Linked DNA regions of Callithrix jacchus. The protein of the gene in region 1 purifies or fractionates together with the protein of each later gene. This does not show direct contact. Links are inferred from orthologs where the notes say so. Each region holds a gene or a part of one and is shown on either strand. Other genes may lie near its edges.

Evidence for each region. Proteins that work in one complex are often made in the same cells at the same time.
Region 2: the proteins of ARRDC1 (region 1) and NEDD4L purify together in Homo sapiens (affinity purification with mass spectrometry; 3 studies listed by BioGRID and IntAct, counting the BioPlex papers as one, with this or other methods). This does not show direct contact. The link is inferred for Callithrix jacchus from reciprocal best matches to the Homo sapiens genes ARRDC1 and NEDD4L.

What each region holds. Positions count from the first base shown.
Region 1 is NC_133502.1:185,956,923-185,961,967, forward strand, and holds the start of ARRDC1 (arrestin domain-containing protein 1), read left to right. Parts: upstream 1-1,640; 5' UTR 1,641-1,669; coding exon 1,670-1,787; intron 1,788-5,045. UniProt on the Homo sapiens protein: Functions as an adapter recruiting ubiquitin-protein ligases to their specific substrates. Through an ubiquitination-dependent mechanism plays for instance a role in the incorporation of SLC11A2 into extracellular vesicles.
Region 2 is NC_133514.1:101,372,954-101,377,546, forward strand, and holds part of NEDD4L (E3 ubiquitin-protein ligase NEDD4-like), read left to right. Parts: intron 1-1,903; coding exon 1,904-2,036; intron 2,037-3,400; coding exon 3,401-3,577; intron 3,578-4,593. UniProt on the Homo sapiens protein: E3 ubiquitin-protein ligase that mediates the polyubiquitination of lysine and cysteine residues on target proteins and is thereby implicated in the regulation of various signaling pathways including autophagy, innate immunity or DNA repair.

The sequences.
Region 1 (5,045 bases):
ATTCTGCCTGTGTATAGTCTTGTCAGGAAAGTGTCTGGATCATGGCCAGTCAGACTCACCTCCTGAAACATCAGAATCCCAAGGGAGCCAGCTGGGACTGGGGCTTCAGAGTCTCTTCCATCCAGGCCCGGGCAGGTGGGGGGGAGCTCCTACAGCCTGTGAGCCACTCTCCTTTTGCTGGGGTGCCAAACTCCTCCTCCTTGACCTGTTACCTTCTACCAACCAGAGATGGCAACGTTTTAGTGCTTGGCTCCTAGGCTCATTCACGGAAGTAGCTGGTCCACTTGGGGATCAGTGGCACCTCAGACTCTGCATGTGATGACTCTCCCACCTGCAAACCGCGTGTGTCTAGGCCCGTCCTCCCCATCAGAGAAGGCCACCCTCTTCGCCTGCTGTCCTAGAAAAACTCGCAGCAGTGGGGCCCGCCTCACCCACTCCATGGTGAACTGGTCCCAGGCAAAGGCCGCCTTCTCTCTCTGGGACTATCCAATGGGACTCTCCCCACTTAGGTCCCCAGGGTATTTGAGTCCCACCCCCGGCGGCTCAGTCTTTACAAAGGGACCTTTAAAAAAGATAAATCGGAGTGTGTTCCTCCGGGTCTCAAGTAATCCAAGTCCCCGCCCCACCTGGCCCCTGACCCCTCTGCTGCGGACCCCCGCCCCGTCCAAGTGTGGCTCCTTTGGGCCCTGCAACCCATCAGGCCAACGGGGGGGCGGGGCAGGTACGGGGAAGACCGCGGTGGGGGGAAGCCCGGGTGGGGGAGAGGCGCCGAACAGGTGTCGGAGGGCGGTGCCGGGGACGGGGCAGGTGCTGGGACGCGGGGTAGGTGCGGGGAAGGCGGGGGGTGCAGGGCAGGAGCCGGGGGTGGGGGTCGAGGCCGGGCAGGTGGTAGGCGGCGGAGCCCTCCGGCCCAGGACGCCGGCGCGGCCCCGAGACGTTTTTCCGCGACCTGGGTTGATGAAGAATGCATGAAGGGGCGGGCAGAGGGTGGGGGCGGAGACCGTGGGTTTTCTGCGGGGAGCCCTCCTCAGTCCCAGAGCTCGCCTCGGCCCGCCCCCTCCCCGCCCCTTCCCCGTCCCCCGCCCCGCCCCCTGACAGAGGCGCGGCGATGACTCCCTCAGTGGGGCACGCAGGGGTCGCTTGCGCCGCAAGTCCCTTAAGTGGCGCCCGACGCAGCGTGGCCACTACCCAGGGGGGCGCGGGCCCGGGCCTGGGCCTGGGATGGATGAGGGCTGCCGGGGTGGGGTGGGGCATGGCGGGGGCAGGGCCACGCGGAGGAATGGGGCGGGGAATAGGGGCGGGGCCGGACCTCCGAGCCGCAGCCCGCGTGCGAGGGGGCGGCCGGGGGTGGGCGGGGACGCGCCAGGTTGGGCGGGGCCGGTAGGGACTGGATGGGGCGGGGAATAGGGGGCGGGGCCGGACCAGGTTGGGCGGGACCGGGAGGGCCTGGATGGAGCGGGACATAGGGGGGCGGGACCGGACCAGGTTGGGCGGGACCGGGAGGGCCTGGATGGAGCGGGACATAGCGGGGCGGGGCCGGGCCGGGTTGGGCGGGGCCGGGAGGGCCTGGATGGGGCGGGGCATAAGGGGGGCGGGGCCGGGCCTCCGAGCCCTGTCCGCTGGCCGCCGGCGGGGGCGTCACTGCGCGGCGGGCCGGCGAGGCCGCGGCATGGGGCGAGTGCAGCTGTTCGAGATCAGCCTGAGCCACGGCCGCGTCGTCTACAGCCCCGGGGAGCCTCTGGCCGGGACCGTGCGCGTACGCCTGGGGGCGCCGCTGCCGTTCCGAGGTGGGCGCGGGTCCTCGGGGAGGGCCGTTGGCCGCACCTGCGCGGGGCCGGGGCTCCCGGAAGCGGCTGCCGTCGCGGGGCCGGGGGTTGGGTCCGCGGAGTCGCTGTCGCCGCCGCCCGGGACTGCTGGGGCGCGGGCTTGGCGGCGCCGGGGAGGTGTGGGCGGCGCCGCCCTTCCGCGTCTGCTCTTCCTGCCTTCTCGCCGAGGGGCAGCGGGGTTCCGGCGGGGCCTGAGGCCAGGGCCTGAAGCGGGTCCGCTGTGAAGCCGCCCTGAGCGGGGCGCACGCAGGCCTGGGACCCTCCCGGTCCGCGCTCGCACCTGCTGGGCACCTTCCCGCACCCGGGCTCCCTTAGCCCGCGCGCCCGTTGCAGAGCGGTTCCTGGCCCGGGCGTGCGGTCCCGGCAGGGCACAGACACCTGCTGCGGCTCCCCGCGCCCCGGTCCCCCTCTCGCAGGCCTCGGGGCCGGCCCCCTGCCGAGGCGGACTCCCGGACTGGGGATCGGGTTGCTGCAGTGGCCGCTGGCAGCGCGCCCTGGAGGTGAGGCAGGCCCGCGAGGTGAGGCTGCTTTCCCAGCACGGGGCCTCCGCGCAGGCCTCTGCCTGGTCCCTGGCTGTGAGCGCCGCGTCCTTGCCGGGGGCTTCTGTACCTCGGCCTCCTGTGGGACCCACCTGGGCTGCTTGGTCTAAGCCGCTGCCCCTGCGCTTCCCGCTGGACCTTGACCGCTGGGCCTCCGCGTGGGTGACAGCACCGCTGTGCCTGCCGAGGACCCACAGCCTTCGTTCCGTCCTCAGCCGCCTGCGACAGGTGGTGGTGCTGTGGCCCTGCCCTCGCCCCTGCCCCGCCTGAGGCTGTGGATCCCGGGAAGAAGCCAGGTGGTAGGCGCTTCTGTCAGGCTCCTGGGCCTGTTGGGCTTCCTGGGTTGACCCCATGGCCTCCGTTTCTCTGTTCGCACCTTGCGTTTGGGGTCTGGGGGGTGCAGGTGTGGCTGTGGCAGGGCAGAGATAGCACACGTATCCCTTGGGTACAGGTGAGGTGTGAGGTGAGGTGGGTTGGATCCTAGCTGAGGGGAGCACCCTGCCCTGCCGTCCCTCCCCTGGGGCGAGAAGGCTATTGCTGACCACAGGGAAAGGATGGCCTTGTGGTGCGTGACTGGCCTGAGTGGGCAGGCTCCCCTGGGCTGCATGGGTGGATGCATGGACGTGGTGCACGCCTGTAATGCCAGCACTTTGGGCAGATGGCCCAGAAGCTGAGGGAGCCCTGGCTGATGGTCCCACCTCACAGAGGATGGTCTGAGTGAGGGAGAAAAAGGAGGGTCATCAGCGAGGGAGTAGAAGGGCCCTGATGGGCCAGAGAGCTGATGATTCAGGCTGCTGGAAGTGTGGTGGAGGGCTGTGCCCAGGCCCCTCGGGAATTTTCCCCGGCCCTGCCGGGGATGGGAACAGAATGACCCTGGTTTCTTTTCCTCATTCAAAGGATGTTTTTTTCTGTCCTGCTAGGAGCCAGTAGGGAGGCCCTCCACCCCCAGGAGGACAGCAGGCTTGCCTGGCCCCAGGGCTTGCTCACTGATTCTGTCTGATGAGTGTTGGTGACAATCAGCACCCAGACATGGACACAGGCTGCCTTCAGGGCTGATGCAGAGGGAGGCCTGGGAAGGAGCAGTTTTCTGTATCCCAGGCTGGCCCATTCCAGGGTTGGGGGTCAGACAGGACCACCCCATGTTCTGCTGTTACTGGGATGGGTGACCAGGGCTGACAGTGGCTCTTGGAGTGCTCATGTGTGGGCCCGATGCAATTCTCTGGGTCCCACGGGCCAGCCTCACTCACCCTCAGCACCCTGGAAAGTGGTACGGTTATTACTCTCATGATACAGATTTGGAAACAGGAGAGGGGAATGGCTCACAGGTCACAGCTTCCGTGGCAGGGGTGAGGCCTGTGAGATGAGGATGAGGATGAGGAGTGGGTGGCTCTTCATGGTCCAAGTGCAGGTGGTACAAGGGAAGGGCTGCTGAACAGCTAGGGGCCTCAGCTCGAGAAGAAAGTTCCAGTGGTTACTTGAGAACACGGCCCAATCTTGATCTTCCTTAGAATCAAAGCAGCCTGCAGCCTCCAACAGCTTGTCGTTGGTTGTGCATCTGAACACAGGAAACCTTTTTTTTTTTTTTAAGAGACGGAGTCTCACTTTGTCGCCCAGCCTGGAGTGCAGTGGCGTGATCTTGGCTCACTGCAACCTCCACCTCCCAGGTTTTAGCAATTCTGTCTCAGCCTCCTGAGTAGTTGGGACTACACATATGCCTGCTATACCTGGCTAATTTTTTGTATTTTAGTAGAGATGGGGTTTCACCGTGTTGCCCAGGCTGGTCTCAAACTCCTGAGCTCAGGCAAATCTACCCTCCTCAGTCCCCCCAAAGTGCTAGGTGTGACTCACCACACCCAGCCAGGAAACTTTTTGTTTGAGACAGTCTCACTTGGTCACCCAGGCTGGACTGTAGTGGCACCATCTCAGCGTACTGCCACCTCTGCCTCCTGGGTTCAAGCGATTCTCCTGCCTCAGCCTCTTGAGTAGCTGGGATTACAGGTGCACGCCACCATGTGTAGCTAATTTTTGTATTTTTAGTAGAGATGGGGTTTCACCATGTTGGTCAGGCTGGTCTTGAACTCCTGACCTCTCGATCTGCCTGCCTTGGCCTCCCAAAGTGCTGGGATTACAGGCTTGAGCCGCCGCGCCCAGCTGGAAACATTTTTTGAACCTGTATGAGGGAGGAGGGATGGGGCTCCAGGGCCCCTGCAAAGAGGTACAACCTTCAAGTCCAGAAGGCGGAAGAAGTCACACTGACTAGGTGACTGCCGCTGAGCCACTCAGTCCTGCAGCCAAGCCCTGCCCGGAGGCTTTCCTGTTTCGAAAGGCTAGGTTCCCTTCAGCCTGTGCTACCATCACAAGCAGTCTGCAAGCTGGAAAGAAGAGGGAGTGGGGACACATGCCTCTCCAGCAGCAAGGAGACCCCTCACAATGGACCCCATGCACTGCTCTCACTTCTCTGTGGGCAGAACTGCATCTTATGGTCCTGCCTGATTTGACCATTTAAAAGAGAGAAACATGGCTGCTGCCATTGGTTTGGCCGGTGACAATGGGCTTCCTGGGGAATTCACCCAGCCCGAGCTGAAGTAGCTGCTGAGAGGCGGAGGAGCAGCTCCAGGTGTTTTGGCAAGGAAGCAGCTGGCAGCTGTGTGGGAGTCCCGTGCCTCCCCTGTTCTTACTG
Region 2 (4,593 bases), on another chromosome or scaffold:
TGCAGTTCTCTTTCTGTTGTTTGTTTAAGGCAGAGTCTCACTCTGTTGCTCAGGCTGGAGTGTAGTTGGCACCATCTCGGCTCACTACAACCTCCAAGTGATTCTCCTGTCTCAGCCTCCTGAGTAGTTGGAGTTACAGGCACCTACCACCATGCCCTGCTAATTTTTGCATTTTTGTAGAGGTGGGGTTTCACCGTGTTGGTCAAGCAGTCCTCAAACTCCTGATCTTAGGTGATCTGCCTGCCTCAGCCTCCCAAAGTACTGGGATTACAGGTGTGAGCCACTGCACCCGGCCGAAAAATGCAGTTCTCAATCCAGGTTCAGGTTCACATGTAGTTTTGGGAGAAGGCAGAGGCATAGCTACCCCATCAGAGAGGCAGCAATGCCAAAGGGAGGGGCTGAGCCAGGAAGGACACAGCAGAACTTGGTGGAACCTGAGGAGTGCCTCCTTCCAATGGGCATGACTTCCAGAAGGCAAGAAGAAAGTTAGTTAAGGAAAGTTTCCACCACAGCCTCTGCTAGCAGGCTCTTTATTGGGATATGGCATAAGTTCATTTCAGAATGTGTAAGAAAATTTTAAAATTTGTGTTTTAGACGGAGTCTATAATGAGTGTTCTTGATAAGTACTATATTTCAGTTAATGTGAAATAAAGATTTCAACTTTTGAGATATTAACTTGTGCAGTAATTTTCATTAACATGATATGCTGTCTTATTGAAAGTATCTGTGAGAGTTTTCCCTGAAAACCTTTTTGGCATTTAAACTTGTACAGTAAAAGCCTCTGACTAGTATTTCCCCCCAAAGAATGATTGCCTTTAATTTACTGCAAAAAAATAGTTGGTTTGTTTTTGTATTTGTTTTGAGATGGAGTCTCACTCTTCTGTCCTGGATGGAGTGCAGTGGTGCAATTTCATCTCACTGCAACCTCTGCCTCCTGGGTTCAGTGATTCTCCTGCCTCAGCCTCCTGAGTAGCTGGGACTACAGACACATGCCACCACACCTGGCTAATTTTCATATTTTTAGTAGAGACGGGGTTTCGCCATGTTGGCCAGGCACGTCTTGAACTCCTGACCTCAAGTGATTCACCCACCCTTGCCTCCCAAAGTGTTGGGATTATAGGCATGAGTCAGCATGCCCAGCCCAAAAAAGTTTTCAAAATTGAATCAAAACTTTTAGATCCTGAATCGAGAGCATCACATGACAAAAAATACGGTGTGATGTGGTGGTGGTCTTCAGACCCCAGCTGACTTGAGAGTTACTAGGATTTTTAAAGTAGGGTAAAGAGGAGAAATGCAGTGTCACAATTTTGCGATTCTGTCAAAATGAGCTAGAAAGCAGCTGAAAAGAATTCACGTTGGATCAGATGTACTTTCATCTCGATGGCAGCTTTGAATTTGTACCTTTTGTAGTCTTTGGTCAAATTGCTGGTGACCAAAAGTAGCTGCCTTGTCGTTGCTGGACTTCTAGAAGGATTGGGACTGCCCAGCTGCTGTGTGAACTCGCCTGTCACCTCTCCTTCCAGAGGCCTGACTTGTCACTGTGACAGATGGGTAGAGGACTTTGATTTCTGTTTTTTATTTAACACTAAGGTATACTTTAGTACCTTATATATGCCTGAAAGATACTCAAATATGCCTGAAAGATACTCAAATAAATGCCTGAAAGATACTCAAAATGGTGTAATGCATTTTAAAACTGCACTTATTTGATTGCAGTGAACCTTAACGTATACTTCAGCTGTGATATGGTGGGAGAATTCTCACATTGGATGACCAGCTAGTCAGTGTTTTATGCTGACGCTTGAGTGGGCATCTGGCCCTCTGTGGGCACTGGACTGTCATGAAAGGCTCCATCTCAACCACTTCTCCTCTTTTTCTCCTTCCCCCTTTCCTGCGTGCTCAGGGACGTGTCCTCTGAGTCGGACAATAACATCAGACAGATCAACCAGGAGGCAGCGCACCGGCGCTTCCGGTCCCGCAGGCACATCAGCGAGGACTTGGAGCCGGAGCCCTCGGAGGGCGGGGATGTCCCAGAGGTACGATGTCCCCAGAATGCTGCAGAGCCCTGCAGCTCCTTCTTTCCATGTTCTCCAGACTGATTTTATATCATCAATTCTTCTCTCAGTAAATGTTGTTGAGAATGTAAAGATGATGTTGACACAGTGAATTAATTACCATATGGATATTAATTAATTTGAAAGTGCTATAAAAGCCATATTTGACAAGTACATGTGGCTCTATTATTGATAGAACTGGGAATGACATTATTGTTTTTTTCCCCCAAGATGGAGTCTTGCTATGTCTCCTAGGCTGGTGTGCAGTGGTGTGATCTCGGCTCACTGCAACCTCTGCCTCTCAGATTCAAGCAATTCTCCTGCCTCAGCCTCCCGAGTAGCTGGGATTATAGGCGCCCGCCACCACACCCAGCTGATTTTTTTGTTTGTTTCTTTGTTTGTTTGTATTTTTAGTAGAGACAAGGTTTCACCATATTGGCCAGGCTGGTCTTGAACTCCTGACTTAATGATCCATCTGCCTCAGCCCCCGAAAGCGCTGGGATTACAGGCATGAGCCAATGAGCCCAGCCAACATTATCTTTCAGTATGAAAATCTGAAGATATTTTCACTTTGTAATTTATTTTTCACCAGCGTCTAACCATGTTTCATTAAATGACAACTTAGTTATCATAGTTGAGCTGTTGAATGAGCCCTATAACTTGTTTGGATATCACATGCACGTTTTTACTGAGTCGCTTTGACACCTTGAAAGAAATTTATTACCATGAAAATATAAATTTGGGTGAATAAAAATTTGCAATTTTCCCTTTAAGCTGTTATGATATACTACTTAAAACTTTATGAATTAAACAACAGATGAGCCATAAACTTCCATGATGTCTTATCAGCTCTGTTTACATACTAAAAATCCATTTTAGACGTTGTCTTAGGAAGATCATTCACAATGCGGTGATTAAAAAGGAAGTCCATGTCAAGAGAAAAGTGTGTGTGTGTGTGTGTGTGTGTGTGTGTGTGTGTGTGTGTGTTTTGGCACATGCATAAAGTAACAAGTGCTGGAAATCAGTCACCATTCAGAGAGGTGGTGGTATAAAGTGGTTACGAGCACAGCCTCTGTCTAGAACCAGGCCTCTTTAGTTCACATCATGGCCCTACCACTTGCTAGCTGTTACCTTGGGCAGGTCATTCTCTGTGCCTCAGTTTCCTCATCTGTTAATTGAAGGTTTTAAATATATCTTATCTTCCTCACGATTATTGTGAAGGTTGTGAGAGGCGCTTAGTAGGTATTATAGTTATTACTGTGGCTATCGTTGTTACATGCTTTTGTTGGGGAGCTGGGCAGATCCCCATTTCCTAGCATTTACCCCAGTGTCTCCTTCTCTGAAAGCCTTGGGAGACTATTTCAGAGGAAGTGAATATTGCTGGAGACTCTCTCAGTCTGGCTCTGCCCCCACCACCGGCCTCCCCGGGATCTCGGACCAGCCCTCAGGAGCTGTCAGAGGAACTGAGCAGAAGGCTTCAGATCACTCCAGACTCCAATGGGGAACAGTTCAGCTCTTTGATTGTAAGTATTGTTCTTACAAAAAATAAAGCTAAGCAGTGTTTCGTTGTTTTTTGTTTTTGTTTTTTGTTGCTTCAGGAGAATCTTTTATGTAAATAGTGAGCAGGGGTCTTCCAGTTCCCAGTTAACTCACATTTTCCAAAGTTCCTCCTTCCCTAGGAGAAGCAGGAGCATACTAAAATTAGCCTAAGCGGGTGAGAATCTTTCTTGATTTGGAAGGCAGCTTTGCTCACCCCATACCACTAACACTTTCTTGGTTTATAAAGAACTCAAAGAAATAAAACTCCATGATGTCTGTAAATATTAGCTTCAACCTTGTAGAATCCTTTCCCAGCCAAAAGACTCAGGACAGTAGTACCTTACCACAAAGGTAGGATGTCACAGTACCAATTAAAAGCCATCAGACCTAATTAGTTCTCTTAAATCATATTCTGCAGGCTTTATAATTCTCATTTCAGTGATACGGGCATGAGGCTTACGTGGCCCATCCAAAACAAGGTTTGAATGGGAGATAGAAGACATCTCCCAAGTCCAAGAGTATAAACCCTTGAGAAAGGTTGTGAAATTGTGACACTGTCATCAAGGTAGCATTTTAACTTGGGCTCTCAACCATCAGAAACATACTTTCTAGAAGCTTCAGATGGGCCCAGTGCCTGAGCCCAGTGGAATCAGTCACAAAGACTTCCATGTTTGACAATACAGAATGGTGCAGAAGTACCCCATAGAAAATCGCTGCTTGTGCATAGAATTAAGAGCAAATGAAGTCTCAGTGTTTCTCAAGAAACTGAACTAAAAGATGTGTGATAAGAAATGATGGTAGTCACTCCACTGAAAACGGCATCCTAGAAAGAAGCAGTCATTATGGTGACCATGACGAACACAAATGATAGCACTGCATGCAACGTAAACGCAATGAGTACTTGCAAGACTATTGCTTTATGGTTATGGTGTTTTTATTTTAAAAGACACTGTAGGCCTCTGCTACATGAGTTGCATTTATTATTCAGCTGATGTGATTT